Struthio camelus: one gene and its partners. The protein of the gene in region 4 purifies or fractionates together with the protein of the main gene of each other region. This does not show direct contact. Links are inferred from orthologs where the notes say so. Each region holds a gene or a part of one and is shown on either strand. Other genes may lie near its edges. The genes, in order: OBSL1, IQGAP1, DUSP16 and MAPK14.

Region 1 (7,026 bases), on a different chromosome or scaffold from region 4:
CTGGCAGAGGCTTGCTGGAGGCTCCCATGGGGTGTGGGGCGGAGAGGGGGTCCCAGTGTGCCCAGCGTGGGTTGCTGTCCCAGTGGGGAGGCCGTTCTGCCCCCCGCTCCCGGCCAAGCGGCAAGATCTGCCCGGGGGACAGCCAGGGCTGTGCAGCAAGCAGCTCCCTGGGGCCGGGGCAGGCTGAGCCCTGGCGGGAGGCCAGCTGTGCCCCTCTGCACCCTAGGCTGATCCGTTAGTGCTGCTCAGTCCCCTAGCATCCTGCCCCCATCCCTTTCCATCCTGCCCCTGTCCCTTAGTGTCCTGCCCTGTCCCCTAGCATCCTGCCCTGTCCTCTCCTCATCCCTCTCCGTCTCTCTGCATCCCAGCTGGCTCAGGCAGTCCCCAGCCTGTCTAGCTGTCAGCACCCTGGCCTGCCTCTTGTGCCCCTCACCTGCCCTCTGCCCCTCTCCCTGCCGGGTCCTGGGCTGACCTGCCTACCCCTGCCTGCCTTCCCCTTCCGCCTCATGGCTCTCCGTCACATTTCAGCCACCCCTACGTCCCAGCCTGGCTTACCTGCTTCCTCTGTCCCACACCAGCATCATAGTCCTGCTGCATGCTTGATGCCCTGACCCACCAGCCCAGCTTAGCTCTTCTGCCCTCTCCATCCTCACAGGGGCTTTCTCACCTGTGGATGGGAAGAGGATCACCTGGGAGGTGTCCTCCAGCTCCTCGTGTGGGACTTCTGGGGTCTCCAGGACGTCTCTCCGATGCATCTTCCTCCCCTCCTGCCGGGGCCCCTCCTGGGGTGCAGGGGGGCTCAGATGCTCCAGCACCCGTGCCCGGACCTTGGCCAGGATGAGCTGCCGGTCGGCGCCAGCGCCGGTGCAGGCGGCCAGGGCGGCGGGGGGCAGCATGGCTGGCAGCAGGTGCAAGAGGAGCAGCATGGCCGCGGGGCGTGCGGTGGGCCGGCTGCTCGGGGGGCTCTGCCGTGGGTGCCTGCCTGCAAGCCCAGCCCGTCTGCCCACTGCGCGCCGCCTGGGGCACGGTGGCATTGAGACGTATCTGACACTGACGCAAACGTCTGCTCGCCGTGAATATTATCTCTGGGCAGCGAAAGCGCTGAGACGTCTGGAATGCAAGGACTGCAAGGACAGTGTGGTCTGGGGGGGGGGGAAGGCGCCCAGGGAGGGGGGCGCGGGGGTGATGCTGCCGGGGCAGTGGGTGCACGGGGCTGGGGGAGGCCAGGCTGCAGGCAGCGTGCTGCCGTGAAGGCTTTGCTGTGCCAGTGTGGATGGAGGGGCACCCTGGGGCGAGCGTGGCAGCTGCCGGTGTGGGGTGTCCCCATGCTGGAGCAGGGTGAGGGAGCTGCGGGCTCAGGGCTTCTGGGGGCACAGGGGGAGGTGATGGTGGCTGTGCTGGGTGATGAAACCTGGGCAGACACCTAATGTGGTCCAGAACCTTGTGAGGCCCAGATGTGGGGAGGGACTTTAGGGGTGGCAGGCTGGGCATGCTTGTGCTGGAGATGTCTTGGTCACCTCGAGGTCGTTGGGGAGCAGGGACATGAGGAGGGAGCCCGAGGAAGGACAGATTGGGGAAGGGGGAACTGCGGCATCTCCAGGGCAGCCTGTGGTGGGCAGGAGGCGGCTGACAAGGTCCCGTGATACGAAGCAGGAGGGATGGGAAAAGGACCCCGTGCAGCCTGGGACAGGCAGTGGCCAGGGAAAGGCTGGGCCAGCCTGCGATGGAGTTGGAGGAGGAAGAAGTGAGGCAGAGCTGAGCCAGCTGGAGACCCTACAGTAGCACCAGGTGAAAGAGGCCACAGTGCCCTTTGGGTTGCCTGGCTGCAGACTTGCTCCTGGGAGCTGGAGCTGCCTGATGGCAGCTGGCTGTGAGGGGACCCCCTCCCCCCCCCAGTGCATCCTGCCCTTCTTCCTGCGGCTGCCTGCAGGGACAGTGACAGGAGTCTGGTGTCCAGGAGTCTTGTCTCCAGGAATCCTGCGTGTCTGCATGGTGGGATGCAGCTTTTGTGCCAGCCCACTCCTGCAGCAGCCCAGTGTCCCATGCAGTGCATCCTGTGTGGCACATCCCATCCCGCTGCAGCCTGGCATCCCATGCAGTGTGTCTCATATGGTGTGTCCCATCTCGCTGCAGCCTGGCATCCCATGCAGTGCATCCCCTGTGGCATATCCCCTCCCATGTGGTGTGTCCCATGCAGCATGTCCCGGGTGGCATGTCCCATCTTTGTTCAGCCTGGGTCCCACACAATGTGTTTTCTCCTGCGGCAGGCTGACCCCACACCGTGGCACCATTGAGCCTGCCGAACGCTGGAGCCCTGGAGGTCAAGGACTGTCTCCCCACTCCAGGCAGGGCCGCTCTCCTGCTGGGGCGCTATACATAGGCCAGCCCTTCCCAGCCAAGGCACTGAATGGAGCAGGCTCAGTCTTATCAGCCCAATGTGTCATCAGAGGGTATTTTTGGGGACAGCAGCTGCAGGCATTTGTAACGTTTGGTCCCTGCATGCTGACGTCCAGGAGCAGAGCTGGGGGAGGCAGCAGGAGCTGGGTGCCGGTGCTGGGAGACACAGGGAAGAGGCGAAGGAGTGAGGTACGTGTGTGGGGCAGGGGACTGTGGTGTGGGGGCTGCGTGGGGCAGGGGGATCGGGGGGACACGGGGGCAGCTGGAGGGGAGTAGCAGAGTGGCCAAGCCGTCGGGGCTGTGCCTGTCTGTGGGAGCTGCTGTTGGGGCAGCCCGTGGGACTAGAGGAGCATCTGGCCGGGAATGCCTCACTGAATGAATGCATTGCCTGCAGGTAGAGGTTTGGGAGGAGAATCTGGCCCTGGTCCCTCCTTCTTGGGGACCCCGGCCCCGTCCCACCCTCCCCTGCCCTTTCGCTCAGGCAGTATCTTGGCTTCTCTCTCCCCATGTCCTGCCCTGCCTGAGCAGTGCAGAGACACCTCTGCCCCCAGCCCCGGTGACGGTGTGGGCAGAGGCCAGGCAGAGAGACCACGCTGCCGCTCTCCAGCCTGTGATGATGGATATTGTCACCTGCGGGGCTGGGGGTCGAGTCGGTGTCTTGGCTGCCTGGCAGCAGGATCGGTCCCTACAGCGTTCCCTCTGCACCCCTGGGGCTTGAGCGCCTGGTTATTTCATTTAGAGTTACGGCTTTTGATACCTAATGGCTGGGGTGGGGGATCCTGCCTTTGCAGCCACGCTCTGGAGCAGGGACCTCCTCTCCGTGGGGAGCCCCTCTTTGCCCCAGGCAGGGAGCTCTGCTGGGAGCCCTGCTTCCCTGTCCTGCTGAGCCGGGGAGAAAGCACCCGGATCCGGCCGGATTCCCCCCCGCCCCCCGCCATGACAGCCCCTTATCAGCACCTGCGCCTGAGCCAGCCCAGATGCTGCAGGAATGTGGCTCTGCCACCACCCGATACCGCAGGAATGCCCCCGCGGGTGGGGACGGCCGGGGCTGGGGCCCTTCCTGCCTCGGCCCCAGCCCCTGCCCCATCTCCCGTCCCCGGCACCCCGCGTGGAGCTGCCTTCGCTCCCGTGCCCCATCCAGCCAGGGGCCCTGTGCTCCTGGAGCTGGGGGTCCTGTCTGTACGCATATACAGCCGGGGCTGTAGGCACCTTGGGGCACGAAGCACTGTCTTCTGCCACCTTTCCCACGGCTGTTGGGCAGAAAAATGGCTGGTTTGGGCTGAGGCTGGAGCATATTCAGGGAAGCGCCAAGTCAGGCAAACAGCATGTTCGTGGGGCGCTGGCATCCTGGCTCAGGCCCCCGCCGCCCCCGGGAGGGCTTGGGGCAGCCCGTGTCCCTGCAGCCCAGTGGGGCAGGGGGCTCGGAGCGAGGGGAGGAGATGCAGTGCTCCTGCTGTGCTCGCGGGGCGCAGGGGGTGCCTCCCGGAGGTGCCCCGCACCAGGGCCGTAGCTGGAGCCTCACCCCAGCCCCGGTCTGTCCGTGCATCGCTCCAGGTTGATGATCCCCGTTGCTGTCCCGCTGAGCTGCCCGCTGTGAGGCCGGGGAGGCCGGGATGGACGGGTTTGCAGGAGCACCCAGGTTCCTGGCCTACCCGCGCACTTTCACGGTGCAAAACGGCGCTGACGCCGTCCTGAAGTGCCAGATCGCGGGCGACCCCCGCCCCAGCATCCTCTGGGAGAAGGACAGGACCCCGATCGAACCGTCAGGCCGCTTCCATGTGGAGGCCAAGGGCAATGTCTACAGCCTGCTGGTCTCCCGAGTGACCCCGGAGGACAGCGGGCTCTACGTCTGCAAGGCCAAGAACAACGTTGGCGAGACCTATGCTGCTGCCACACTCAAAGTGGAGGCCGGGGAGCCCCAGGAGGAGGGAGACCATGAAAACAAGCCACCCGTCTTCCTGGTCCGGCCTTCGTCGATGCGGGTGTGCCGGGGGGAGGACGTGATGTTCACCTGCAGGGTGTCAGGGCAGCCCTGCCCGGTGCTGCACTGGGAGAAGGATGGGCACGAGCTCTCCGACCTCTTTGAGAGCAGTCATTTCTCGGTGGGGAAGGAGCCTGAAGACTGGCACTTCCTGAAGCTGTTCAGCGCTCGGCCCCCGGACGGGGGGGTCTACGTGTGCCGGGCGCGGAGCGGCTCCCGGGAAGCCCTGGCTGCGGCCGTGCTCCTGGTCGAGCCCCTGGCGCCGGGGCTGCCAGACGAGCGATCCCGCGGGTCCCCCGGGAACGGCCTGGAGCAGCCGGGAGAGCGGCAGCAGCACCGCCGCCGGCACGCCGCCGTCCAGAGCACCGTGCCCGAGGGCTGGGCGCTGCCCAACGGTGAGGTGCCTGCCGGCGTGCCGGGCGCCAAGGCGTTCGCCGTGAGCGCGGGGAAGCACGCCAAGTTTCGCTGCTACGTGACCGGCAAGCCCAAGCCGGAGATCGTCTGGAAGAAGGACGGGAAGCCCGTCACCCCGGGGCGCAGGCACCTCGTCTACGAGGACAGGGAGGGCTACTTCATCCTCAAGGTGCTGTACTGCAAGCCCCAGGACCAGGGGCTGTACATCTGCACCGCCTCCAACACGGCCGGCCAGACCCTCAGCGCTGTGCAGCTCCAGGTGAAGGGTAGGTACCGGCCCACGGGCCGCCGGGGCTGCGGGGGGCTGCGGGTGTGCTTTTGGGGCTGTTTGCCTAGCAGGGGCGCATCTGCGCGTGCACGTGCATGTCAGGGCACGCGGGCTGAGCAAGCGCTGCTGGGCTCCCCTCCCAGGGGCTCGGGCAGGCCTGGGGGCGCGCGGGGGCCGGGGCGCCTCTGGGGTCTGTCGAGACGGGGCCAGCGGCAGGCGTGGGCTGCTGGGCTGCCCCAGGGGCTGGTAGCTCCCGTGTTTGTCCCCCCGCCATGCCCCTCTCCTTGTAAGCAGAGGGGTGATGTTTCTAGGGGGCTGCGCGTGTCAGGCCGCGAGCAGGGAGGGGGCGCGACATGCTGGTGACAAATTCCCCTGCAAGCGCAGAGCAGCTTTGGCTGGGAGCCTTGCAGGGCACGGCACCAAGCGTCTGCGCTGGCGACAGCCCCGTCCCTCTGGCAAAGCCTGCACGGAGCCCCGCTGCCAGCTGGGGATGCCAGGACGGCCCCTCGCCGAGGGCGATGCAGCACCTGGCGCTGCCCCGCTGCCAGCCCGCCGGCGGCCGTGCACCCACCCCACGCGCAGCGCCGCCTGCCCGGACGCCTGCTGCGGCGTGCTGCCCTGCACGCTTCTGCATCCCCGGGAGCTCGCCGCTGAGGTGCTGGCGGCATCGCCTGGCTTTGCTGACCTGCGCCGTGTTTCCCCTCGCTCTGGGAAATCGCTCCCCGGGGCAGCGGCCGTCACAGGCAGCGGGGGCTTTTGCAGCGCCATTTGGCATTGCAGCACCATGAAGGGCCCCTCCTGGGAGGGGGTCTGGCTCCAACCCTGCTGCACGCCTCCCGCCCAGCTGCCGCGGCCCAAAATAGCGGCCAGGGGCAGCGCGCTGCCCTCTCCCACCCCGTGGGGCTGTGCGGACCAGCGCCGGGGGTGTTCGCCGGGGACACGTGTGGGGAGCAGGGCAGGGTGCTGCCCACACCTGCCCGGCTTGTGCCGAGGGCAGGGAAAATCCAGCCTGAGCCCTCGCCCGACCGGAGGACACGGACGGAGGCCGGGGGAGGATGCCCCAGCGTCCTGGAGGGACGGGCTGGCGGTGGCGGTGTCTGCTGTGGTGTCCAGGAACAGCCGGGGAAGCCGGGGACGATGCTGTCCCCGGGGCTGAGCTGAGCTGGCAGCCGGGCAGGCGCAGGCGTCCCAGCTGGGACGTTTGTCAAGGCGGAGAGCGGGGGCTTGGCCACTGCTGGCAAGCAGCGCTGTGGACTGGCCCCCAGTGACCAGGAGAGGCTGCGGGGCAGGGGGGCCCAGGGTTTGGTGTTATTTTCAAGCTGGCAGAGCCTTGCGCAAAGGGCCAAAGGACGGCGAGAGCTGGCATAGGGCACGGGGAGGGGGCCGAGTGGTGGCGGTGGGGGTGCTGGCCCCGTGCGCTCCTCAGCACCCGTCTCTCTCTTGGCTCCAGAGCACCGCGTGCGCTTCCAGGTGCAGCTGGCGGACGTGGAGGTGCAGGAGCGGGAGGACGCCGTGCTGGAGTGCCATGTGCCGCTGGAGACCATTCCCACCGCCTGGTACCTGGAGGACAAGGAGCTCCAGCCCAGCCCCAAGTACGTCATGGAGGAGCACGGCGTGCTGCGGCGCTTGACCATCCGCGACGCCCGCACCGACGACGACGGCATCTACCTCTGCCAGATGAAGGACAAGGGGCGCAGCGTTGCTGAGGTCTCCGTCCGAGGTGGGGGGCAGGCCCAGCTCCCCTAGCTCTACCTTCCCCCCTCCAGGCCAGGCAGCTCCCTGCTGCCCCCTGCATCTGCCCTCCCACTGTTTTGCCCGCACACCTCCACGTGCCTGCTGTTACCCCTCCTAGACTTCTTCTACCCCTCTCCTGCCCCTTGCTCCCTCCCCACCCCTCACCTGGCCCTTTTCTCAGGGGTGATCGTGAAGAGGTTGCCGCGGAAGCTGGACGTCATGGAGGGGGAGA
Region 2 (7,393 bases), on a different chromosome or scaffold from region 4:
GTGCTAAGTCATGAGAAGAGATGACTGTCATGGAGGAAAACATTAGACAAACTAATCTGTTTCACTCCTATTCTTCACTTATAGCATGTAAGATCACTTGTTTGCAAAAGATTTAAAACTAGCAACAATAAGAATTTACACATTCATTTTTAATAGTTCCCTTCTCTTGACATAGCAGATACAGGTATCTACCCCCACACACCTCATGTTCACAGTGTATTTTCATTAATTGTCTGAATGAAGAAATACAGCATGCTTTCACACTTTATAAACGTGGAGATAACGCAGAAGAAGGAGGGGGCTACATGTATGCTGGAAGACAGGAATACATTCAAAATTATTTCAACACATTAAACAAAAAGGTCATGAAAAAACAGAATAATATTCAACAGGGTCAATTAAAAGGTAATAACACTTAGGAAAATGTAATTGGCTGCACAAACATAGGATGGGGAACAGACTTCATCAGCATGCCTTCAAGGAAAAGGATGGCAAGTCAGCAAAACTCTACCACATCATGCCATTATGAAAACCGAGATACCATGCTGGAACGCATGAACAACAGCATACCTAGCAGGATACACGAAATAATCCTTATGCTCTCATCAGCATGTTAATGCCCCAGTTGGAAAACTTCTTCCTGTTTTGGCAGTGCACTTCCAGAAAGACATGGATTAAGTGGAGAGATGTCAAGACAATCCAGGAGTAATGACCTCATCTATTAAATAGGACCCACAGGGAAACTCATATGAAAGAATTGGGTTTTTTTAGTCTAAGAGAAAAGAGCAAGGAAATACTTTGTAACAATTCAGATTTGTAAAAGGCTGCAGTGAAGAGAATAACCTGTTCTCCGTTTCTGTTGATAAGTAATGGCGTAATACCGCAGCAAGACATACACAGGTGGGATAGCAGGGAGGATCCTTCCAGTGTTAAGAATACGGAAGCACTGGAACAATTGCTGAAGGCGTAGCTATGGAGTCCCTGTCACAGAAGTCCTTAAGAACATATTATATAAGCACATCAGGAACGAGCTAGACAAAGTTGCATTTGCCCCTGTCAGGCAGAAAAATAGACTAGAGGTAGCCGCTAAAGGCCCTCGTAGGCTTTTTTTTTTTTTTTTTAAATGAATCTATATAGCTGCTCAGAAACACAGTCAAGAATAATTGCTATGAAATTATTCCACTTAACAAGTATCACAACTCTTTTTAATACACCAGCAGTTTCAAGCCCACTTATTCTTACCTCTTGGCTTCCTCCAGATGGCAAAGATATTCATAAGCCACGTTCTGGCGCCGTCTTTCATCCATCTCCTCCGCTGTTAACCTCTCATTATCCAGGACAGCTGCGAACAGTCAAACAGATTCTCAGGTTCTTGAGGATTGAATGCAAATGAACAGACAAACCAAAAACCAGATCCAACCTTTCCCACAGGAGCTCACTTTTATTTGATTCAGAAAACGAAGAACCAAATAAACAACAGAACAGAAAGTAAAGCTGAAGCTATCCCATTTCCTTACCCTTCCTCCCTTGCCAAATAAATGTCATTTTCCTTCTTTTGGATTTCTCCATTTGCTTCTGATCCAATTTTTTGCATCTTCCAATTTCCTATAAACAGCCCTTTCTCTTCTTATTTCCTTCTAGCTTTACCTTTCTCTTCCTAAAAAGTGCATCAGTGACCATGTCTCTCCACCTACCTTCTGATTTTGGTAATCAAAGATTAAAGGAGGACAGCGATATATCATCACACCATAAAATCCCTTTTATATAGTTATACTCAATCTCTAAAAGAGAGGGCAATGCTACTCATAATCCTCACCTGGAGAGGAAGCGTTCAGATCCACAACCTGTGCATCATGTTTGGATTGATCTGAGGACCTATTGAGGGGTGTATGCCTAAATCTTTCAGACTGTGTTCAAAGCCGCAGTGATACAGCCTGTCCTTTCCACTCTTACAACTAAACACCTCATCCATGCTCTTATGGGGAAAAAATGCACGTTCTTCGGTTTCAAGGAGTAGTTTGACGAATAGGAAACGTCTCTTACTACTGTTAATCAAAGGTTAGCTCACACCTAAAATGCCTTCATCAAATAAGTGTAACGACAAGGTATCAACTGCAGTATTGGGTCTCAAACAAAATTTTGCTTCAGACTGCCACGGGTCTCCTAGAGAACCGGTCCAGGGCATGCCAAAAGCCTCTTACTGCTTCAGCCTCTCCCAAAGTTACAAGGGCTGAAAGCTGTCACAAATCCCACGATAACAGCTACCAGCAGGGAGAATTCCTCTCCCCTCCCGGCCCCCGCCTCAGCGCTGCCTTCTCGAGCAGCGCGGGGCGGCCAGCGCTTCCGGCGGGCCCTGCCGCCGCCGCCCCTCACCGCAGCGCTGCAACTTCTCCGCCCTCACTGACTTTTGACGTGATAGCGCAGCACAAACTCTGACGCGTAGCACAAAACTCCAACGGGGGCTTAAACTAAAGCCTCCGTCCCCAAAGCGTAATTCCAACGCGCCCGGGTGCCTTCGCCGCAACCGGCGGTGAGGCCGGGAAGAGCAGGGCAGGGCAGGGCAGGGCAGGGCAGGGCAGGGCCCCGGCCGGCCGCCGCGCCGCGCCCACCGCGGCGGACATCTTGGGCGAGGCCCGGCCGCCCCCCGCCAGGCGGGGGCGCCGCAGCCGGGGTCAGCGCCGCCCGCCGCGCCCCAGCGTCGCCCGCGGACGAGGCCCCGCCGCTCCCTCCGGGCCCGCGGCGTCCCGGCCCCCGCGCGGGGACGAGCGGGGCGTCGCCAGGCAGGATGCTCCTCGGCGGCCGCCCGGCTCGGCCGAGCCCGGCCGCCTCTCGGTACTCACAGCCGTAGTGGGGCCGGGACACGGCCAGCCCGTCCACCTCCTCCGCCGCCGCCGCCATGGCGCTGCGCTGGGCCGCCCGGAGCTGCTGCGGGCGCGGCGGTTCCTCTTCCTGCCGCTCCGGGTGTGGCGGAGGAGGAGCCGCCGCCGCCGCTCCGCGCTCGCCCCCCGCTCCCCCCGCCCCGGCCGCGCCCCGGCCGCCTCCGCCGCGGCCGCAGCGAGGCGCTGCCCTGCCACGACCCCCCCGCGCCGCGCCGCGCCGCGGTCTGGGGCGCCGCCCGGGCAGCGTCCCCGCCGCGGCCGACCGGACCCGGCGCCCGGCTCGGCCCCGTCCCGCTGCCCTCAGCCCGGCGGACGCGGCGCGCCGCCCTCCCCCCGTCCCGCTGCCCACGCGCGGGGCGCCGCCGCCCGCCCCGCTCCCCCCCGGCGCTGCCCACGCGCGGGGCGCCGCCCCCCCCAGCCTTGCTCCCCCCCGGCGCTGCCCACGCGCGGGGCGCCGCCCCCCCCAGCCTTGCTCCCCCCCCGGCGCTGCCCACGCGCGGGGCGCCGCCCCCCCCCAGCCTTGCTCCCCCCCGGCGCTGCCCACGCGCGGGGCGCCGCCCCCCCCCAGCCTTGCTCCCCCCCGGCGCTGCCCACGCGCGGGGCGCCGCCCCCCCCCCAGCCTTGCTCCCCCCCGGCGCTGCCCACGCGCGGGGCGCCGCCCCCCCCCAGCCTTGCTCCCCCCGGCGCTGCCCACGCGCGGGGCGCCACCCCCCGGCCCCCCAGCCCCGCTCCCCCCCCCCCGGCGCTGCCCACAGGCATCAGCACTGGAGCTTCGCAGGGCTGGGCGCTGTAGAAAAACAGCAAAAAAGGAGACAGGTCTGATGTTAGAAAGTTTGTGCTCTGTGTTAGAAAAAGTGTGCTCCCGTATACTGATATAAATGGAACTGTTAATGGTAGTTGGATTTTGGAGACTCGTGGGAGGACTTCTTCATGAAAGATCATTCCTAATCAGCTTCAAAATGGACTATATGGCTCAGTAAAGGAAGGGAGGGAGGGGGGCGGCTGGGAATAGGACTGTGGGGGAGAGGGAAGACTGAACGGCAAGGAACCGTTTGCAAGTTCCTCTCGCCGCCGAGGGCGGGTTTGCAGTGCGAGGAGGTAAAGCAGCGGGAGGAAGCGTTCCCTCTCCAGCCAAGCCAGATTCGGTCTGTTGGCGCTGGTGGACCTGCTGAAGTACGTGACTGACCAACAGCTCACAGAGATGGAGAATATGTGGTATCTCACAATATTAATTTGTCCTTAAAACAACAGATACAAATCAATGTTAACGCAACACAGTGAACATCGGAAAAACAATACTAACACGCATATACAACGACAGGTTCTAATTTACCCATTACAGCTCAGGTGGGAGATCCTGGAGCTGAAAACTTCAGCTCAGTGCTGAGCAATGGTCCAAAGGCAAAGAGAATTTTGGAAATTATGAATAGTAGTATCTTGCAGCTAAGATAGTTTAAGGATATTCATGAGGTGAAATGACTTGCCTGACCACTTATATCAGTTGGTCTCCTAAAAGACAGTCATTCTCTCTGCAAGCCTTACTCCATAGTATTAGGAAAGAAATGCAGTAGTACAAAGCAGGAAACTTCATTTAGCCAGTGCATCCTGAATCCTGACTGAGACACTTATCTTGAATAGAGATGTGCCCAATTTGAAATATACCTCACTTTTGGTCATCCCCCCTTAAAAAATAATATAGGCGAACAAAAATAGGTACAGAGAAAGGCAACAATGAGGATCAGAACTACAGAAGGGCTTTCCTGTCAGAAGAGGATAACTAGCTAGGACACTGAGAGAGACCTGTGAGGAGAGAAAAGGGGCTTGAAAGAGATGCACAGAACATGAGAAGGAGACTAGGCAACATGTTTTCATTCCTTCTGACAAAACACACGTTAATCCCAAATTTAACCATAAAGCACTTTTAATCCAAACTAAAGGAAATGCCTTTTTACAAAGTATAACACTATAGAAATCAGTATGACATTATTTTGAAGACCAGAAGAAAAGGAGTTAGACAAATGCACAGAGGTTCATCAAAGGCTACTAAACAAACTGGTCTAGATGAAAGCTTGGGAAGATCATACGTCACTGGATGGCGGAGTAAGAAGGGACCTCTTTCCACGCATGCCTTATTTGTGCTCTCTATCTGTCCGTATTCTCAACAGATCAATATCAGACACAGGACCCTGGACTAAAGAGGCCTGTGATTTGATTCAGTGAGGCTGGGAGTTTTTGTTGTTGGTGGGTTTTTTTTTATGAAGAAACATGCAGGCAGTGATCCTGAGGAAGAACAAATTTTCCCATTAAGTATTGTTGAAAGAGACACTAATGAATGTAAGTAATGGGCTATAATGATGATAGTAATAATAATAAGTGATGGCAACAATTTTGTAAGACCATGACACCCCTCAGCTCTTAGTCAAAATGTTTGGTAACAGTTATAATTCTAATATTAATATTTATTTATATTACTTCATATGTGGCCACTCTGCAGTTATACAACGAGAAGACATTTTAAACAATGTTTCTATATAGACTGTGGAGTGCAGAACTGGTTTTGTTCCCCTAAAATCCCAGAATAATTTTTGCACATCTCCATAATCCTAGTGAAAAAAAAAATCATAAACTTGGTCTTGTCTATAAGACCCATTCTGACAAGAATAAAACAAGATTATCACACATTTGCAGTTTCAAAGTTTCTGGCTGAACCTCTTCAAGGTTATACTTGAATCGCTCCTGTAATGGCCCCACCGATCATTGTCTCTAAGATTTCTGGTCTTTGTTACTGTCTCTACTAACTGCTGTTTGTTAGGGTTTGTGTATCTTTGTGTTTAATTTATTGCCTCTCCTGTTTCTTGTCTTCTTTTTTTTTTTTTAATGTTGAATAGCCGCTAGCTAGATAGCCTTTCACAAAGCACTACAGAGGTACCTATTTTTCTCTAGTTTCACCGTTTTAGTTATCAATTCTGTACAAAATTTAATTATTCTTTATTTGGCCTTGACTGCCTAATCACCAGGCTTCCCTGAGGAAACGAGAGCTGCAAAACTCAGTCCTTTATTTAAACTACTGTTATCTGTTCCTTTGCAAGTATTTACTAGCCACTTTCTTTATCGAGAAAGATTATTTCTGTGAATGGTGCTGGGGGGAAAAAAACACAGATTACCTGAAGACTCTGAAGCTGCCATTCTGCAGTCGCTTCAAAATAACCTAGCTGCAGGCTGCCACTGAAACAGGGAATCTCTCATCTCTTGTATCCCCCTCCAAACATTATAGTATATACAACGATCCTGCCTGCCTTTCCAAAAAACCACATGGTCTCTTAGTCCAAAAAAGATTGGGAGATAATAGCATATTCAAACAATGTTCCACTGAAGAATTTCTCATGTATGTCCTCATTTCTGCCAAAGTAAAAGCTGAAGATGGAGTAGGATCTGCTCTAGGTCTCATTTAGCACTAAGAATTCCAAGCCATGACTTATGCTATGACACACAAACCCCTCAGAAAGCTGAGAGAACAGATGTCTTTTGCTGCTCTACACAACATCCTTCATTCTCCTGACTCGTCTCATCCGTAACAGTCATTCCTTAATACTGTTCTTTGCGCTTCAAGTATTCATAGACAATTGAGACCTTTCCCTTTAGATCTCATTTGTCCGGGATAGGTTTATTTAGGTCTGTAACAATGTTTAGATCCCTAATCATTTTTGCTGTCTTCTCTAATTACCCAGTTTAGCTACATGTTCCGTGTTAATGGGCCCAGACTGGCCTGCAGGAATCCAGGCACAATTGCGTCAGTTGAAAATATTTCTATGACTCCTACCCCTCACATATCTGATGATACTGTTTTGTATATGGTCATATGTCAGGCTGTGGCTGCACCAGATCAGAAACGTAGTGGCCAAATGAGACAAGTTGTTGCCCTGGTCTAAAAACGCAGTGCTGTTTCAAAACTGCACTCCCTCAGCCCTGGCCCTCCCATCCTTGTGGCAGGGAACTTTGCAAGAGGCTCTGGGAAAGCTGCAGAGGAAGTGGCTGCCCACTTGGGGGAGGAAGACATGGCCAGCCCCATACCACTTGCTTCTGCAGTGCCAGACCAGCCAGGCAAGACAGGTGAGTCTGGCTCACGATATGGGGTCTCCTCCATCCTATTTGTTTCCAGACTTGCTTTTGCATCCTGACCTCACTTCACACGGCCCAGCAGCCACCTGGGACGCAGCCCTGCATGCACACTCATGCACACGCATGCACACTGTCTGCAGTACTCCACAGGGAAGCCTGGAAGCAACATGACAGAAAAGCCCAGAGCCCAAGTACTGCCCACAGTCGTGGCACGGAGCTGGGATGCAGCCAGAGGCTGCTGGGCTGGCAGAGGAGCCCTCACTCTCCGGAGGCAAGCGAGCCATTCGGCACTCTGAGCTCCCACCATAAAACACTCCCCTTTCTTCCTGTAGCAGCGCAACATCAGCAAGCTTTGTACTGGAAAAGACTTCCTGAATTGGAAAGCTGTGCGCTTG
Region 3 (7,677 bases), on a different chromosome or scaffold from region 4:
ACTAAATGGGACTTCTTGGGTAAGTAAAAACTGTTACCCTTTCTTTTGCAAGATGAAAGATGAGAGGAAAACGGGTGAGCTAGTGGTTAGATCTGGAATTTAGGAGAACTTGATTCAGCTCTCTCCTCCACTGCCTTGCTGTACTACCTTGAATAAATTACTTTAGCTCAGCAACTCAGTCTTTTATCCATACTTCTCTGCCCCACAGAAGGCTTATGAAGGTAGAAGGTGTTCAAACATCGTGATCATGTAAGTTCTTACTGACTAATGGATAAGGGATTTCTGATACAGGGAAGCAGAGAGTTGACGCTGATAACTCTCCTTCCTTCTTCCCTATATTCCCTACTGCTCCTGTTTCTATATTTCTCCCTACAATTGCTGACTTCTCTTCTACTGCTCTAAATCCTCTGATACTTCCTCCATCATCCCACAGAGCAAAAATATTGCCCTGCTTGGTCCTACTTTTCCTCGCAGTTCAAAAACACACATCTGCATTTTTCCTAGACCTCCACTTGCACACCAGCTCCAGCTTCTTTGATATGCTATGAATCTGGCAGTCCCAGAGAAGCTTCAGGAGAGCAGTAGAAGCATGAAAACTACTTGCAGCGACACAATAGTCATATCTGAGTATTTTCCAGAGAGCTTCCCGAGATCCAATGCCTGCACTGAAAGGAAGAATGGGGAGATACGAGTTGTTCTCAAACCCTCTCTTCCCCCCAGCATTGCTACTATCCACCCTACATCTCTGATGCCTGTATTGTTCACCCTACTGAAATCCTTTCTCTCTAGGCTGAGCTCTGGGATCTCTCAGCTACCCTTATCTGCTAACTTTTTTCTCTCTTCTGCTCTTTCCCCACCCTCAGTCCTACATCTTCTATTTCTACCTGTTTCAATTATCCTAATGGAAGAGGGGAGGGAAGGTTCCCATTGCTGCTCCCCCACAAACCTGCACTGCTCCAAGTAACAAAGCTAGTAGTATCTCAGAATGCCACAAACACTTCATGTTAGGTATCTCAGCAACCCTTCCAATTTTAAATACCCTAAAGAGCTGTCTATAGCAGCTGTGCCTGGTATAGCAGTCTGCTCTGAAAGTCGATTAGGCTAAACTACCTCTGAAACTGTCTGTGAAATGGTCATCGCTTCACTTCCCATTTGCTGATTTGGGTTTCCCCTAATCGGTTTCAGCCAAAAAGAAGCCAGTTTAGCAGATATCTACTATTTAAACTGCTTAAGCTATTCCAGTTGGCTTTGACTGAAACAAGTTTGGGAGCAATTGCATGAGTAGCTCGTAGGTAGGTAGGAAAGGCAGTAACCTTTGGCAGAAGACAGCTGTGACAGTGACTGGGGAGCTGGCTGGAAATGGTAACCCCTTCAGCAACCCAACTTTAGCCTGTGGAGAAAGTGAGTACCAATGCAGGGATTTTAAAGCATGGTAAACTCTGTGTTTTAAGCTCGGTTCCCGCTTATTTCACAATAGGTTCCTTTGGAAAACCTGCTGTGCATAAAACTTGATGACGTCGTTCAAACTGTCTTTCATCTTTCCCCTATTTAATCACTGCTAACTGATTAACCTAGTGAAGCGCCACAAAATCCTTTAGGTGGAAAAGGAGCAAAAAGGCAGGCATGCTAGCTTTTACAAATAAATAAGCAGAAACCTTTGCAAACAAGCCGTATAACCTGTAGTTCTCAAAAGTACCTATTGCTCTCTCCAGCAACGGGGGTAGGCAGTAGTAACACACAGTCACTCCTTCCGTCAGAAGCAGAACGTGAACTTGTAGGACACAAGGGCGTGTCAAAGTTCAGACACTGTTGTATAGCCTGTTAGCCACCATAATGTCTTTTGCCCTTCTTTTACCCCACGTAGGCACTTCAGGACTTCTAATCTCGTGAGCTTGATAAGTAGGCACAAGACAGTAACTCCTTCAATACTGCTTTGCCACAAAGGGGCAGTGAGTGCTATGTGCTAAAGCCAAAAAAAAGTCCATTGCCAGAAATTTAGCAAAACATATTTCACATAGTCAGATCTTTAAACAGCTGGCGAGGGAAGCTTAGCAGTCAGGGACACAGGCAAGGCCAGGCTGTTTTTCTCCTAGATGATTCAGGTGCTTCTTGGGTTAAAGTGTTTACAAAACTATGGCCTGACTCCATCTCTGGTTTGGGAGTGCAGCGCAAACCATTCTCAGGAGCCTGCTGTGCAAGTGGTACAGGAGAAAGGAAGGCTTTCACGAAAAAAAATTAGGCTGAAGTTAGACTCTGACATGCAAACAAATTACTGCTCCTTCACGAATGACCACCTGCCAGTTGAAGCATGTTAACTGCCAACATGTGCACTCTTAGCCCTTTGCAAAGAGAAGGTAAAGCACATTGCCTTTAACCTTAATGAAGGTCAGATGCTCTTTGGTTTGAGCCCTTAAAACGACTTCTGTTTGTGTCTTTGGGTTAGCCTTCCTGTTGTAAACAGTATACTCTTTCTGGCACAGTTACAACATACCGTACCCCTCAAAATCCATCTTTCATCTCAAACTCAACTAAAAATAAAAAGTTATTCCCAGTAATAACTTCAGTCTGCAGGAGTTACTGTGACACAAACGTGTTTGAGTTGCGCCCTTTATAACATGAGGAAAAAAATCCTGACTCGATATTGGAGAAACTTTAATTTGCTCTCCTAGTTGGTTTTTTTTTGTGTGTGTGTGTGTGTGTGTATCCTTTTTCAGTTAAAAATTAAAAACATTCCAAAAGGCCAGAAGTACTTATTATTCTTACACTTTTACAATGAGGAAACTCTTTTAGTCTCTCAATTAGGGAAAAAAAAAAAAAGAGCGCTTGCATAACATGTTAACAGGTCCTGCTGATAAAAGGAAAGAGAGAATTCAAGTATCTTTCCTCTTCAACACGTATCCCTTTCTGCTGTGCCCCACTTCCGTTTGGGAGGACAATATGCTGGAACTATTTGTTCTTGCACTTTTCTGGTCTAAATAAGCTGTAGCACTGGCTCTCTCCTTGAGTTTCTTTGGCACACTCTCTGTACCCCTTCATAGAAATGGGTCAGTGCTGACTTCCAGTATCGTGGGTATTTGGGGGTCGCAGTACATATTTTTAGGGCCACTGGTAATGAAGGCAAAAAGGCAAAACTGCTCTTTAGCTACTACAAGAAACACACATGCAAAATAGTAAATGTACTTTTGTAAATTACTTTGCCACAGTTTCTTCACTGCTTTTGGTCACTCTGTGGTCCAAGTGTTGTAAGGAGTTCAGACTTCTCTCTACTATGCTACCATATATTATGCACGCTCCCTTGCAGAGGAAGCTACTGTTCCGTTACAAGTGCTAGCAAAGCTTCTTCATGAGAGACAGCTCTCAGCGTTTAAAAATCAGGTCCTTTGTCAAGGTGGTTTTCAGTCAATTTTGTCAGGACAGGGACAACCTCCATATGATTTGTTTTGTAGTTGCCTGCTTCCCAAAATGTGCAGCACACAAACTGCAGGTAACAGTCATGTGTCTTTCCAAAGGCGCTTCATCTGAAGGGACAGCAGTGAAAGTCTAACACTCTTTCTCCTGCCTGCCATCTTCTATGGGTTTGTCACGTGGGGATTCAAAAGACAGAGGATAGGACTAAATGGAGCTCTTGAATTCTGGCATTTAAGACTTCCTGCATATCAAACAGAACCTGGAAACACTACTTAGTGATGGCACCTGTGATTATCTGTGATGGTATCAGGGGTGTCTTTGAGAGAGAGAGAGGAACAAAAGAAAAAAAAGCTTTGTAGACTAGTCTGGAAGTACTTAGAGGGTTGTGGAAGAGCAGATATGTCCCATCAAATCCTTGAAGTATGTATGTGTAGCTTTTTTGTTGAAGTCTGTACTAGCCAGAATGAATATGTATTAGACAAAACACTTGTGTTTATGTGTATCTAACTATTCAGATAATTTTCATTTTCTTCAAGTTGCTTTTTAAACTACCGTTATTATTTAACAAGGTCTTTAAAGGGTGAAAGCCCTCAACTTTCAGTGCAGCCAAAGGAGCGCTCCGCGCGCATCAGCTCATGCCTCAGCCCAAGGATTCAAAGCCTTAAGGGTTTGACTACCGCACGTATCTCCGTCTTCCTTTTGGAAGGGTGACAACAGTTTCTACGAAGCCACCGGGAGCGCCTACTGCCCAGCCACAAGCCGGCTGAGCAGCGTCACCCCTTTTCCGTGCCACCCGGCGTACGCACAGGCACACACCCGCGCGCTCGGAGGGGGAAGCGCGGGGCGGGTGGCGGAGGCCTGGCCCCAGCGCATCGAGGGATGGGGGGCACGGGCGCCGGCGAAGGGGGCGAAACCCTCCTTCCCTTCTGGCGCAGGCCCTCGTTTTGGGGACAGAAGGGCCCTCTCCTTCGCCCCACTGGGCATCAGGGTGGGCGAGGGGGCTCGCGCGGTGAGGCAGGAGGTGTCAAGGAGAAGCCAGGCGGCGAGGTGTTGACGTCAGAGAGGCGAGGGAGGGAGGAGGAGGAGGGCAAGCGCGGCCCGTCAGGAGGGCGAGGGCGAGCTCGACCCGCCGCGACGCGACGCGAGGAGGCGCGAAGGCGGGTGGGGGAAGGGCCGCCATCACCGCCGCCGCCGCCGCGGCTCCTCGGGTGGCTCCTCCCCGGGGCCGGCCCAGCAACCGAGCACTCAAACGGGACTGCGGGGGCGAGCAGCGCCTGTCCCCGGCCCCGGGACAGCGTGGTAGCCCGAGCCCCCGCTGCCGCCTCCCCAGCCGGCGGGGCCGGGGCCGCGCTTGTCTCCTCGCTCGGATCCTCTCTCCCCCCCCTCCCTCCTCTTTCTCCTTCTCTCTCTCTCTCCACCTCCCCCCCCCCCCCCCCGGCTGAGTTCATTCACTGGGATTGGTTTCAAATGACGCCATCGCTTTATTTTTACACCAATGACCTCATCCCAGCAGCTTGAAGTTTACTGACCAGCAAAACTCTTCTCTTCCCCCCCCCCCGCCTCCTCCTTGTGTCTGTTTGCTCTAACCATTTATTAGTGATTGTTTGGTTCCTTTAGGGAACCTAAGGCTTTTTAGGAGGGGAACAAAAAATAAACCCAACAACTTTCTCTTCCTTTCCCTGGCTTTTCGGTCCTTCTTCCCCCCCCCGCTGGATCACTGTCCCTTTTTAAATTTCTCAAGCCATCGCGGAGGGGAGGGGGGAAGGAGAGAGAGAGAAAAAAAAAAGCCTCCAAATGTTTCCTTTTTCTGCTTCTCTCCCCTCCTACCTTCAAGCTTCCCCCTCTTAAAAAGACCAGAATAGATGGTTTTTTAGTTTGTTTTTTTTTTAAATTATTATTATTACTATTCAAGAAGAAGGAAAAAGAAGAGCTTTCCCAGCGGCTGGAAGGAGACAAAGTTGGTTCTGGCAGCAGCGAAGAGAGGCTGGTGGCAACTTTTATTCCTACCAAAGGGGACAAACTAGAGACGGGGCGGGGGGAGGTGAAAACAGTCAGTGTCGGGCAGGGAGAAGCAGGGGAGAAGCTGGCGCCGGGGACACCCCCCCCCCCCATTTGCCCCGGGGGGGGGGGGGAGTAAGCGAGCCGGGGACCTGCCCCGCTGCCGTCACCCGCTGTGTGGTATCGCCTCGGGGGCCGGGACCGGGGTTTTGGGGAGGTGGGGGGCAGCGGCCTCCCCGTGTCCCCGGCGGGGGGGCCCAGGCGGCCGGGGGGCAGGCGGGGGGGCCGGGCCGGGCCGGGCTGGGCGGGGAGCGGAGGGGAGGCGAGGCGAGGACGAGCCGCCGGCCCGCGCCTCACATGTCGTCGCGCCTGGCCCCGGCCCTGCCGGCTCCGGCTGCCGCTGCCTCCCTCCTCCTTCCCCCCCCCTCCATAGGGTAAGGAGAAGGGGGGAGCCGCCGGGAGGTTGGGGGGGGGGGAGGCCCCCGCGCCCTGGCCTCTTCTTCCCCTCCTTCCTCCCCAAATTTACCTTTAGGAAAGTACCTGTCCACCTGCCCCTTGTCTTAAAGGCGGGGGGAGAAAGCAGGGCTGCCTTCGCGCGGGCACAGGGGAGTCCGCCCGGTGCTGAAAAGAGATGCCTGACAGACCCCTTCTTTAATTTTTGCGCTGGAAGCGAGCCGCGGAAGGATGTTTTGGGGGGGGGGGAGGAGGAGGAGGAGGAGGAGGGGGGCGGCGGCGGCGGCGGCGGCGGCGGCGGCGGCGGATTTGCAGCGCGACGCGCGCTGGTTGGTGCCTCAGAAGGGAGCGAGCGGCGCTGGCCGGCGGGCAGGGAGCGCGCGTCGGCTGCCGAGGCGGTGGGGTGCGCGGCGGGCCCGCAGGGCATGGCCTGGCCCCGGCCCCTCCAGGTCCTGCCGTGAACTTGGGGTGAGGGGGGGTGGTGGGGGGTGGTGGTGGTGGTGGTGGAAGCGCTTAAATCGAGTCGGTTGACAAAATGGAGGGCTGGTGCGGAATCGGAGAGCAGAGCACCTCGCGAAGACGTTAACCTGGTGCTGTAATCTGGAAAACCAGTAGTTCTGGGGCTTTCGCTAGCACGGCCTGCCAGATGATTACCTTCCGATCTGTGTGTGTGTGTGTAAAAGCCCTGGGGCGAGGAAAATGCTGCTACCCATCAGTGTGTCCTGAACAAGGTGCACGGGATGTGCCTCTTGCAAAGCCTGACCAATAGTAGGATTTTTTTTTTTTTTTCAGCCTCCCGAAAGCGTTTTGTTGCACGTCGGAGGGGACCGTAGGAGGCTGGCTTGTAGCAGACAAAATCAAGGCAAATTCACTTTCTTCTCTTTCTTCAGTTGGCTAAAGCAGAAATTGAGCTCTCACTTTTCCTTCAAGTGAAGGGTGTAGTCATAGTAAGCTTTATTGTCTGACCTATGACTAACTTTTTTTTGTTCAAACATTATGTGTATACCCAATAAATACATCTGTGCACGTTTTGAAAGCTAAAAGCAGTTTTAACTGTTTCACTTTGTAAGGATAATTTTGGGGGGCCTTTCAGTAATTTAAAAAAAAAAAATCCCAAACCCCCAAATCATCTTGTGTTCCTTGTTTTATGATTTATGCTATTCCTGGCAGCATGTGGTTTGGTAGAGACAGAACTTACAAAGTCTCGACTGACCAGACAGAAGTTGATTTAGACTCTAGTGTTTTGAGGGGAGGTGGAAAAATATTAAGTCTTAGTTTCTTTTTATGGTGTTCATCTCGCTGCCCGTTTGAAATTGAAGCATTAATCACAGTTGTTTATGTTGGTTGGGTTTTTTGTTTGAATCTGGAGGAAATATGCAACAGGGAGGTTGTAGATGTATTTTTAGCTTTAATCAGTGAAGATACAAAGATATTCTAAAGCAAGTCCTGCATTTACTAAATACGCTTATTAATAGCGTTAGGAATGAATCTATAAAATGTATGAGGTGTAGTAAACCCAGGTTATTATGCTTGTTTAAAGCACTAGTGCTTCAGTATATGTTAATACTCAATTTTAATGTCTCTTTTAAAATGAACGAATAAGTAAAAGAAGCACAGAAGGTGCCAGTTCTTGTGCTAATTTAGAGGTGATAGCTGCAAAAATGCTCTATGGTTTAATTCATGGGCAAAGGTCCAGAAAGCCAAACAAGCATTTTAAAACCCAACATGTTATGTAAAGATATATAAATAGGTCCTACTCCAGTAGGTCTGGTTTTGTTAGCTACCTAAGTAGATTTAATGGAACAAAATCAGTTTTAG
Region 4 (7,340 bases):
AACACTTCAGAAAATATTGGAATATTTGCTCTGACTTTAAGCATGTGACTTGGGTGCCTTAAGTTGCCTGAAGAAAACGCCCCTCTCTCTCGCTCTCCACTGACTTCAAAATAAAGTCAGGTTCTTATCTACAGGTGCTCTAAGCCATACTTAAACTAAACATTTAAAGTAGCTTACAGCAGACAGCGCCGTAGTCTAAATGATTTATTTCCTGGCTCTATTATTTATTTATTAACTTTTTCCCCCTACTCTCCAGAAATTTCTCACTTTTAACTCTTTCACCTTGGTAGGTAAATAAACAACAGAACATCCTATTATATTCTAACACAATAACGCAGTAGACATCCCGGGACGTATGTTTAACCATCCAGTTTAGGGGTGGCTAAAACGCTGCAATTTACTATCCCAGCATACATGTGCTCCCAACAAAAAGTCTCAAATGAAACTAGATAACTTTTTCCTGGAAAAGGAGGGGGAAGAGGAAGAAAGAGAAAAATCTCTAAAAGGACAGAGAATGCAACAAGGCGTCTTAGGAATATCATAAATATCATGCATCACCATTTGCAGTTTAACAATATTACAGATAAAAGAAAATTATATATGCCATTTTTATTTTAATCCGGACATACTTTCTATATTACTAGCCTTTCCAAACCGCATCTTTTCTGAAATATGTATTTTTAGGAGAAAAACATCAACATGGACAGTATTAAGACTCAATGTGCCACATGTCTGAAATTGCTTCCAATGAAAAATTGTTTCATCTGGCCTGCATGCAGTTGCACAATCTTTGAAAGTTTTGACACAACAAAACAGGAAATTCATGATGCAAACTCTTCAGTTATTGGTTGTGAAAACAAACATTGGAAGTATTACAAGCACAATGGAGATTGTGGGGAGGGGGAAAAGACAAAAGGAAGGGGTTAGATTGTGTTGGGTAAACCTTAAAAATACAATGGACAAGGCATTCAGCAAATTAACTTCCTATTATTTTTCCGTGAGTAATGAAACTCTGAGCAGTTAAAGGGGTATCTATCAACTAGGGCAGTCAGGCCCTTCTTCAACAGAACTAAATCTTTCTACTATAAAAAACTCAGTGAGTACGTTCAGTTAATCTTGCTACTAGAATGGTTTAACCTTTGCCTTTTATGAAATGTGTTTAAACCCTTGGGGAATAACAATTTTAAGAATACGCGTTATTTAAACAGAACTTACTGGCAATTTTATAAACCATTGTTATCTTAAACTTACTATATTAAAAACAGCACAGAATTCTATTTCTTTAAAACCGCAGCACATGCAAAACAACTCTTTATTAGTACAGTTCAGTATGCATGCCTCTTTATGGTATTCATAATATGATACATAAATGATATTGATATCAATTTGTACATTATGTTAAAGAAAAAATATGCATGTCTGCTCAAATACAGCAGCAAAGCATTACGCGCCCGCATTAGAAAATTCTGATCATAGTTTGATGGAGCAAAAGAACAGAGAGTAGAAAGTAGAATATTCATATTAGAGAAATTTCTTAATAAAAGGACACAGTAATTTATGAATACTTTTATATGACTCCATTATACAATTGCTAAAGTCTAGGTGTCAAACTGATTCAAGTTTATTTTCTTTAAGTGATGAATGCAGCCCAATTAACTTAGGTTTAATGGGCCAACATCCTTTAGTAGAGGAACTACAAATGAAGGGAGCGTTGTTGTATTTAGCATGTGTAACCTGTCATACATTTTGTTTGTAGTAGGTAAGCATTAAAAACTAAACTCTCTTCACTTCCAAATTCTCCACGTTTCTGCAAGCCTGATACTAGGACTTTGCTCTTCCAGGCAGCGCATATTGCAGTAATTCTGTCATTTTACAGCAAGAGAACAAGTTTTCCCGCATTGATCTACCATCACCAGGAAAATAACACTGATAATCATAAACCTGCTGTTACAAGTCGGGGATGCAAAAATAGCCCTTATAGCCCTCCTGCCATCATCTCTGCCGACCAGCAGATCTCAGTTAAAAATGCAATTGCCTTATAGATGATCTATCCTTCCAGTCCAGCAAAAAAAAAAAAAAAAAAAATGGAACAAGAGCTGCCAGGCCCTCAGCTCTGCAAAGCCAGCTATCAGGGACTTACCAGCCTCCATCCTTTTCCACCCCCTACCTAGTAACTGGAAGAAGGCACGGTGAAAAATGTCTATATGAGATCATGCTGGGGTGGGGGGTGCTGGGACATGATTATCTCCCCCTGCAAAAATGTTTTAGTGCCACCTGCCATGTGGTGCAATCCGACGCATTCCAAAGACAAGACAGTGCCTCCCCAGCAGTATCGCTATGAAACCACGGAGAAGAGTGTTTCTTGGCGGAGGCTGAGCCGAGCCGGGGGAGAAGGACCCCCAAGCAAACCCCCTCCGCTGGGCTTGCTTTCGCCGACGAGCGCCCTGCACGCGTTATTGCCGCGGGTCCCTACGAGCCGGGGCAGGTCTGCCAGCGGGGAGCCGGCACGGCAGAGCCCCGCGGCGGCACGGCAGCCCTCCTCGCCCTCACGCGGCGCCGCAGCACGACGGGGCAGGGGCCCAAGCACCGGCCTGACGCGTCCCCCTCTGCACACCCACGCTCTGCCCCCTCCCGGGACTCACCAGACGGAACCGTAGGCCCCGGAGCCGACCGGGGAGAGGTTCTGGTAGCGCTCGGGCACCTCCCAGACCGTCTTGTTCAGCTCCTGTCGGTAAAACTTGGGCCGCTCCTGAGACATCTCGGCTCCGGAGCCCGCCCCGCCCGGCCCGGCGGGAGGGGGAGGCTCTGCCCGCGGTTGCAGCAGCAGCACTACCACCGCCGCCGCCACCTCCAGCAGCAGCAGCGGCTTCTTCCTTCCTTCTTCCCTCTCCCCGCCTCGCTTCTCCAGCGGGCGGAGGCAGCCGTGCAGCAGCAACGCCCTCTCCTCCGCCGCCGCCGTCCCCTCACGCCGCCGACCGTTGGCCGCCGCCGCCCCGCCCGCCCGCGCGCGCCCCCTCGCCTCGCGCCGCTGCTGCCCCCTCCCGCCCGACGGGGGGGGGGGGGGGGCGAGAGGCCTCGCGCGGGCGGTTCACCGACCCCCCCCCCCCCAACCACCGCGCTGAGGGGGAAGGAGCGGGCGCGCGCGCCGAGCTGACGGGCGGGGAAGGCGGCGGCGGCGGCGGCGGAGGGAGGGGAGGGGCGCTCGCGCCCGGGCGTTGGGAGCCGCCGCGCGCCCACCTGGTGCCCTCGCCCCGTCCTCGCCTCGCCCTGCTCTGCCGCCCGGCTGCCTCGCCGCCCGCCCCGCGCCGCCAGCGGCGGGATAGCCCCGTGAGGTGAGGCGGGCCGCGGCGGGGCTCGTCCCGCCGGCAGCCAGCGGGGCGCAGGGCCAACAGACGGGGCGGTGGTGGCGGTGTGTGGGGGGGGGGGGAGAAGGACACGCCCGTCGCAGGTAGGACGGTGACGGCGACACCACGGCGACTGCCCCCACCCCCTGCCTGGCCGCCCGCTCCGCCCCGCGCAGCGCAGCACAGCCCCGGCTGCGCTGAGGCGACCGCCGCCCCCCTCCCCGGCACGCTGGGGCCCAATCGCTCGGCACGGCCGCTCTCGCGAGAGCTGGGGGCGCCCAGGGCAGAGATGACCCAATATGGAACCAGCGCGGGGGTCTTCTCGCGAGAGCGGGAGGGGGGCGGGGCCTGGCGGAGGGCGCCGGTGACGTCGAGGGGGCGGGGCGGGGGCGGTGTGCTGGGGGGGGCCTGGGTGCCCCCCCGGCTCCGCCCCCCACAGCACCGGGCTGGCCGGGCCCGAGGCCCCGGATAACCCTTGGCCGCTGCCAAAAAGCTAAAATTCCACGAGTGCTGCCCCTGCTTCGCGTTTTCATGAGCACACCCCCCCTTCGCTCTTTGCTGCCCAGTTGCCCTTAGGGCGTGCTTGAAATAGAAAGAAAAGGAAAATCGATGAATAAACTTACTTCCCGCAGCATTTCTGCAGGCCCTGATTAACATGGCAGGGTCGCTGGGGAGTAAGCGCCCATCGAGACCTTTCTGGAGCTGCCCATAGGTCTGGTGCTTCTGGAGTCCTGCAAGCCAGTCTTGGTTGCCTTGTAGTCCCCGCAAGTGCACTTTGTCCCCTTCTAGGGGCTTTACACCAGCAGTAATGGGGAGAACAAAGCCATCTCTGTCTAGATTTCCCAGTTCTGTATTCGTATAGAGAATTTTCTGAGTACTGTAATATTGCCTTACGCTATCAAAGATGGGTGCGTGCCTACTTTCAAGCGTGCGCCTAAGACATTGAAATCACTAGGTGCTGCAGGCTAAGCATGTTTTGAAGTGGAGCCCATCGTGTTTTCACCAGGTTGTAAGTACAGAATTGCACAGCAAATAAAAGAGTGTTAGGGATTTGAGTATAAGGCCCTTTGCCGTTGGATCTCAAGCTTGAGGAAGATGAGTTTTGTTCGCAATACTGTGCGAGACAGGCACGTTCTGCCTGGAACTTGCTTTTAAAACGGCGGCTTCCCATGTCAAAAACCTTCTTGTTCTCTACACAGCCTAACAAAATGGGACCCTGTCCTCTGCCTCTATGAGTCACCGTTGAAGTCCAAATAACAGGAGTGAACAAGAGCTGAACTTGACCACTGCTTGTGTCTAAAAGGTAACTTACTTTGTGGCATGCTGGGCTTTTTAATGCCTTTCATCGGCAGACTCTAGCCTCTTGTTGGTTTTGCTGCTTGTGTTATTTTATCTTGAAAAGGTGCTTGTGCTCAAAGATGTCAAAAATAGGTAAGGCTTTAAAAACTTGTACTGGGTCTGAAGATCAAACGAACACAAATGGCTCTTAAATCTATCTGTGGAAGACCTAGATTTATCTTCTCTGTAAGAAGAGGGAGGAACTGTGCCCTAATGATGGAGTGTGTTTGAGACTCTCCTACCACCAGCTCTTTCTGGGGTTTAGAATGACTGGGGTGTGTGTACACGTCTGTGGCTGTGTCTCACAAGACAGGAAAGTCAGTGTCAAGAGTCCCTGTTGCTGTATGAGAAGTAGCATGGCTCAGTGATGCAAACCGCTAGGCCTGTACACTGATCCTGGCAGTTCAGGAAATGAAATAAGAAGAGGAAACTTTAATCCCAATGCATTTTTTTTGTTACAAGTTCTGCTACAGTTGGACTACATTCTGAATAGAGTCCTACTGCTAACTCACAGCCTTTTAATATTTCCTCTTTCCCTATATGTTACTATGTGTCATCACCCTGCTTTTTGTGTAATCTCTGTACTTTCACTTGGAAATTCTGGATTTGAATCTTTTTTTTGCCTCGGCTGTCTGTATAAGATCTTTGCCTCAGATCCTGTCTTGCAGTGGACCTTTGCTTACTCGGTATTCCCTTAGGGAGCTCACGTCTTACCTACGCTGAGTGACAGAGATTGAACTCAAATCTCCTTCCTGGTATTAAAATACTAAGGAATAGGAGTCAGACATTCTGAGGATTATAAAACCTGAACTGTATCAAATATAGATTTTACACAGCGTTTATATGCTGCAACTCAGATTTAGCTGCTCCCTGTATGATTCAAATCTAGATCTTTTTCCTCCAGGGCTAGAAACGAGGAGATTTAGAACTGGTTCCCCAGCTGCAGTTGGGTTGCGGAGGGGGACGGGATCCAGTTTTCTAAACACAGGCCTGATTTTGGGATCACAAAATGGAGGGGATCCAGGCTGGTCCTTCCCACAGAGTTGGAACAAGCCCGGTTCCAGAAGGACCCAGTATTGCTGAGAGTGATTTGGCGATTGATTTATCTGATCCTAAGAGCAGCAGGTCCTTCATGGATTTCAGTCTCCAAAGCCTTGCTTATCCCTGCGTTGACTATTGGTTCCACAGGAGTTATGCTGGGATGGGCTGATCACATATTATGCTTTTTATTGTTTTGGTTTTTAAGCGAGACTTCAGTCAATGACCCTGTTTCTTTCCTTTAGCCCTAGTGCCAAGAACAAGCTCTTTGATTTTGGCTTCCAGCATTTGCTGTTCCTCCGGTTTTGACTGTCCATGATCAGAAGGACTATATGGAGCTAGACGATGATATCGTTAGGGCAGATAGACAACCAACAGTATACAGGGTCCAAAGAGAAATACAAACTGAGGAGCACTTCCAGACCTACTTTGAAAGAAACCTCTCCTCTACCTTGTGTGGAGAAATACAAATTCCTCGAGTCCACCGACGGCTCCAATGCAGGTGAGTTATATGCAGGGAATTTGGTAGATGCGAAGAAACTAAGGAGACTCTTCAAGCCCAAGTGCAATAAAAGGCGCTAACTTTCCACTGCTGGCAATTAAAATGCTGAAGTGTGTTGATTGATAACTGAAGCAGAACACCCAGTTCTGGCAACTCACACCTGAAGCATGAGAGATCAGCTTAGCACTGCACTATGAAAGCGGCTATTTGCAGTCTGCAAAAGTTTCTGTTCACTTGAGGACTCTGATAGCACGAGGGATAGATGCACTGTAGAGAGAAACTGCCAATAGTTTCGGTCCCCTCCAGCGCTTCCCTTTGCCCAGCTGCAATACGCAAGCTTGCATCTGCTTTCTCTGGTTTGTGTTTTTTGCTACTTTTGTTTCTTACATTTCAAGACCCATTTTCTGTTCCTTCTTAGTTGGGAACATGGATAGTTGCATAATGGTAAGACTGAGATTGACTGAAGTGCTTTTCCTTTATTTTGGAGCTGTGTTCCTGTGTTCTTTGAGAATAATGGGGTGAGGCAAGCGCACCGATATAGCACTAATGCTTCAGCAGCCTGGTTTTCCCATTCTGGGACATTATCTGCCAAGATTCTCTTTTGGGCATTGTACTGGGGTTAGAAGCAGCTCTTCTTCCAGAGGAGCCCTGCAGGCTGCAGGCACGCCAGAAGGCAGTCTCATTTGGCAGCATATGAGAATTCCTGATGTTCTTCCAGCAAGGCAGATATAATCAAAAATAGGAAGCTCTTTCATCAGTTTCCCTTTCAGTTTTGTTTAATTGTGAATACTCTGTTTTCTTTCTTTGGATCCTGAGTGGACTGGCAATGGTTATGGCTGTGTCTACTCTGCACAGTCCTCATAAGAAAGCAAATACAAAATCTCTGATTCGTCATTTATCCGAGCTTTCTTTCAGCAGTTCACAAGAACTAAAATGTATACTGAAACATAAAGCGTTTTTCTGGGTCTGTGGCAGGACTTGAGACCAAGGCTAGCCATGGGTGAGCTTCCACAAGATGTGGTGAGCTTGCTGCAACAGCTTGCTGCAGCCAGAAGGGACAGGACCGCGCAGGGAAAGACAGGGAGTCAGACCTCCCTCCTTCTGTATAGCTAGCTCTT

The links.
Region 1: the proteins of MAPK14 (region 4) and OBSL1 purify together in Homo sapiens (affinity purification with mass spectrometry; 6 studies listed by BioGRID and IntAct, counting the BioPlex papers as one, with this or other methods). This does not show direct contact. The link is inferred for Struthio camelus from reciprocal best matches to the Homo sapiens genes MAPK14 and OBSL1.
Region 2: the proteins of MAPK14 (region 4) and IQGAP1 purify together in Homo sapiens (affinity purification with mass spectrometry; 3 studies listed by BioGRID and IntAct, counting the BioPlex papers as one, with this or other methods). This does not show direct contact. The link is inferred for Struthio camelus from reciprocal best matches to the Homo sapiens genes MAPK14 and IQGAP1.
Region 3: the proteins of MAPK14 (region 4) and DUSP16 purify together in Homo sapiens (affinity purification with mass spectrometry; 7 studies listed by BioGRID and IntAct, counting the BioPlex papers as one, with this or other methods). This does not show direct contact. The link is inferred for Struthio camelus from reciprocal best matches to the Homo sapiens genes MAPK14 and DUSP16.

What each region holds. Positions count from the first base shown.
Region 1 is NC_090947.1:27,737,591-27,744,616, forward strand, and holds the start of OBSL1 (obscurin-like protein 1), read left to right. Parts: upstream 1-4,010; coding exon 4,011-5,058; intron 5,059-6,510; coding exon 6,511-6,780; intron 6,781-6,975; coding exon 6,976-7,026. Other genes in the region: INHA (inhibin alpha chain), read right to left, coding at 668-1,034. UniProt on the Homo sapiens protein: Core component of the 3M complex, a complex required to regulate microtubule dynamics and genome integrity. It is unclear how the 3M complex regulates microtubules, it could act by controlling the level of a microtubule stabilizer.
Region 2 is NC_090953.1:208,596-215,988, forward strand, and holds the start of IQGAP1 (ras GTPase-activating-like protein IQGAP1), read right to left. Parts: upstream 3,009-7,393; 5' UTR 2,899-3,008; coding exon 2,841-2,898; intron 1,343-2,840; coding exon 1,243-1,342; intron 1-1,242. UniProt on the Homo sapiens protein: Plays a crucial role in regulating the dynamics and assembly of the actin cytoskeleton.
Region 3 is NC_090942.1:81,362,741-81,370,417, reverse strand, and holds the start of DUSP16 (dual specificity protein phosphatase 16), read left to right. Parts: upstream 1-4,661; 5' UTR 4,662-5,391; intron 5,392-5,461; exon of another isoform or gene 5,462-5,586; intron 5,587-5,723; exon of another isoform or gene 5,724-5,840; intron 5,841-6,199; exon of another isoform or gene 6,200-6,327; intron 6,328-6,651; 5' UTR 6,652-6,721; intron 6,722-7,677. UniProt on the Homo sapiens protein: Dual specificity protein phosphatase involved in the inactivation of MAP kinases. Dephosphorylates MAPK10 bound to ARRB2.
Region 4 is NC_090965.1:4,986,657-4,993,996, forward strand, and holds the start of MAPK14 (mitogen-activated protein kinase 14), read right to left. Parts: upstream 3,003-7,340; 5' UTR 2,759-3,002; coding exon 2,643-2,758; intron 1-2,642. Other genes in the region: SLC26A8 (testis anion transporter 1), read left to right, coding at 6,053-6,222. UniProt on the Homo sapiens protein: Serine/threonine kinase which acts as an essential component of the MAP kinase signal transduction pathway.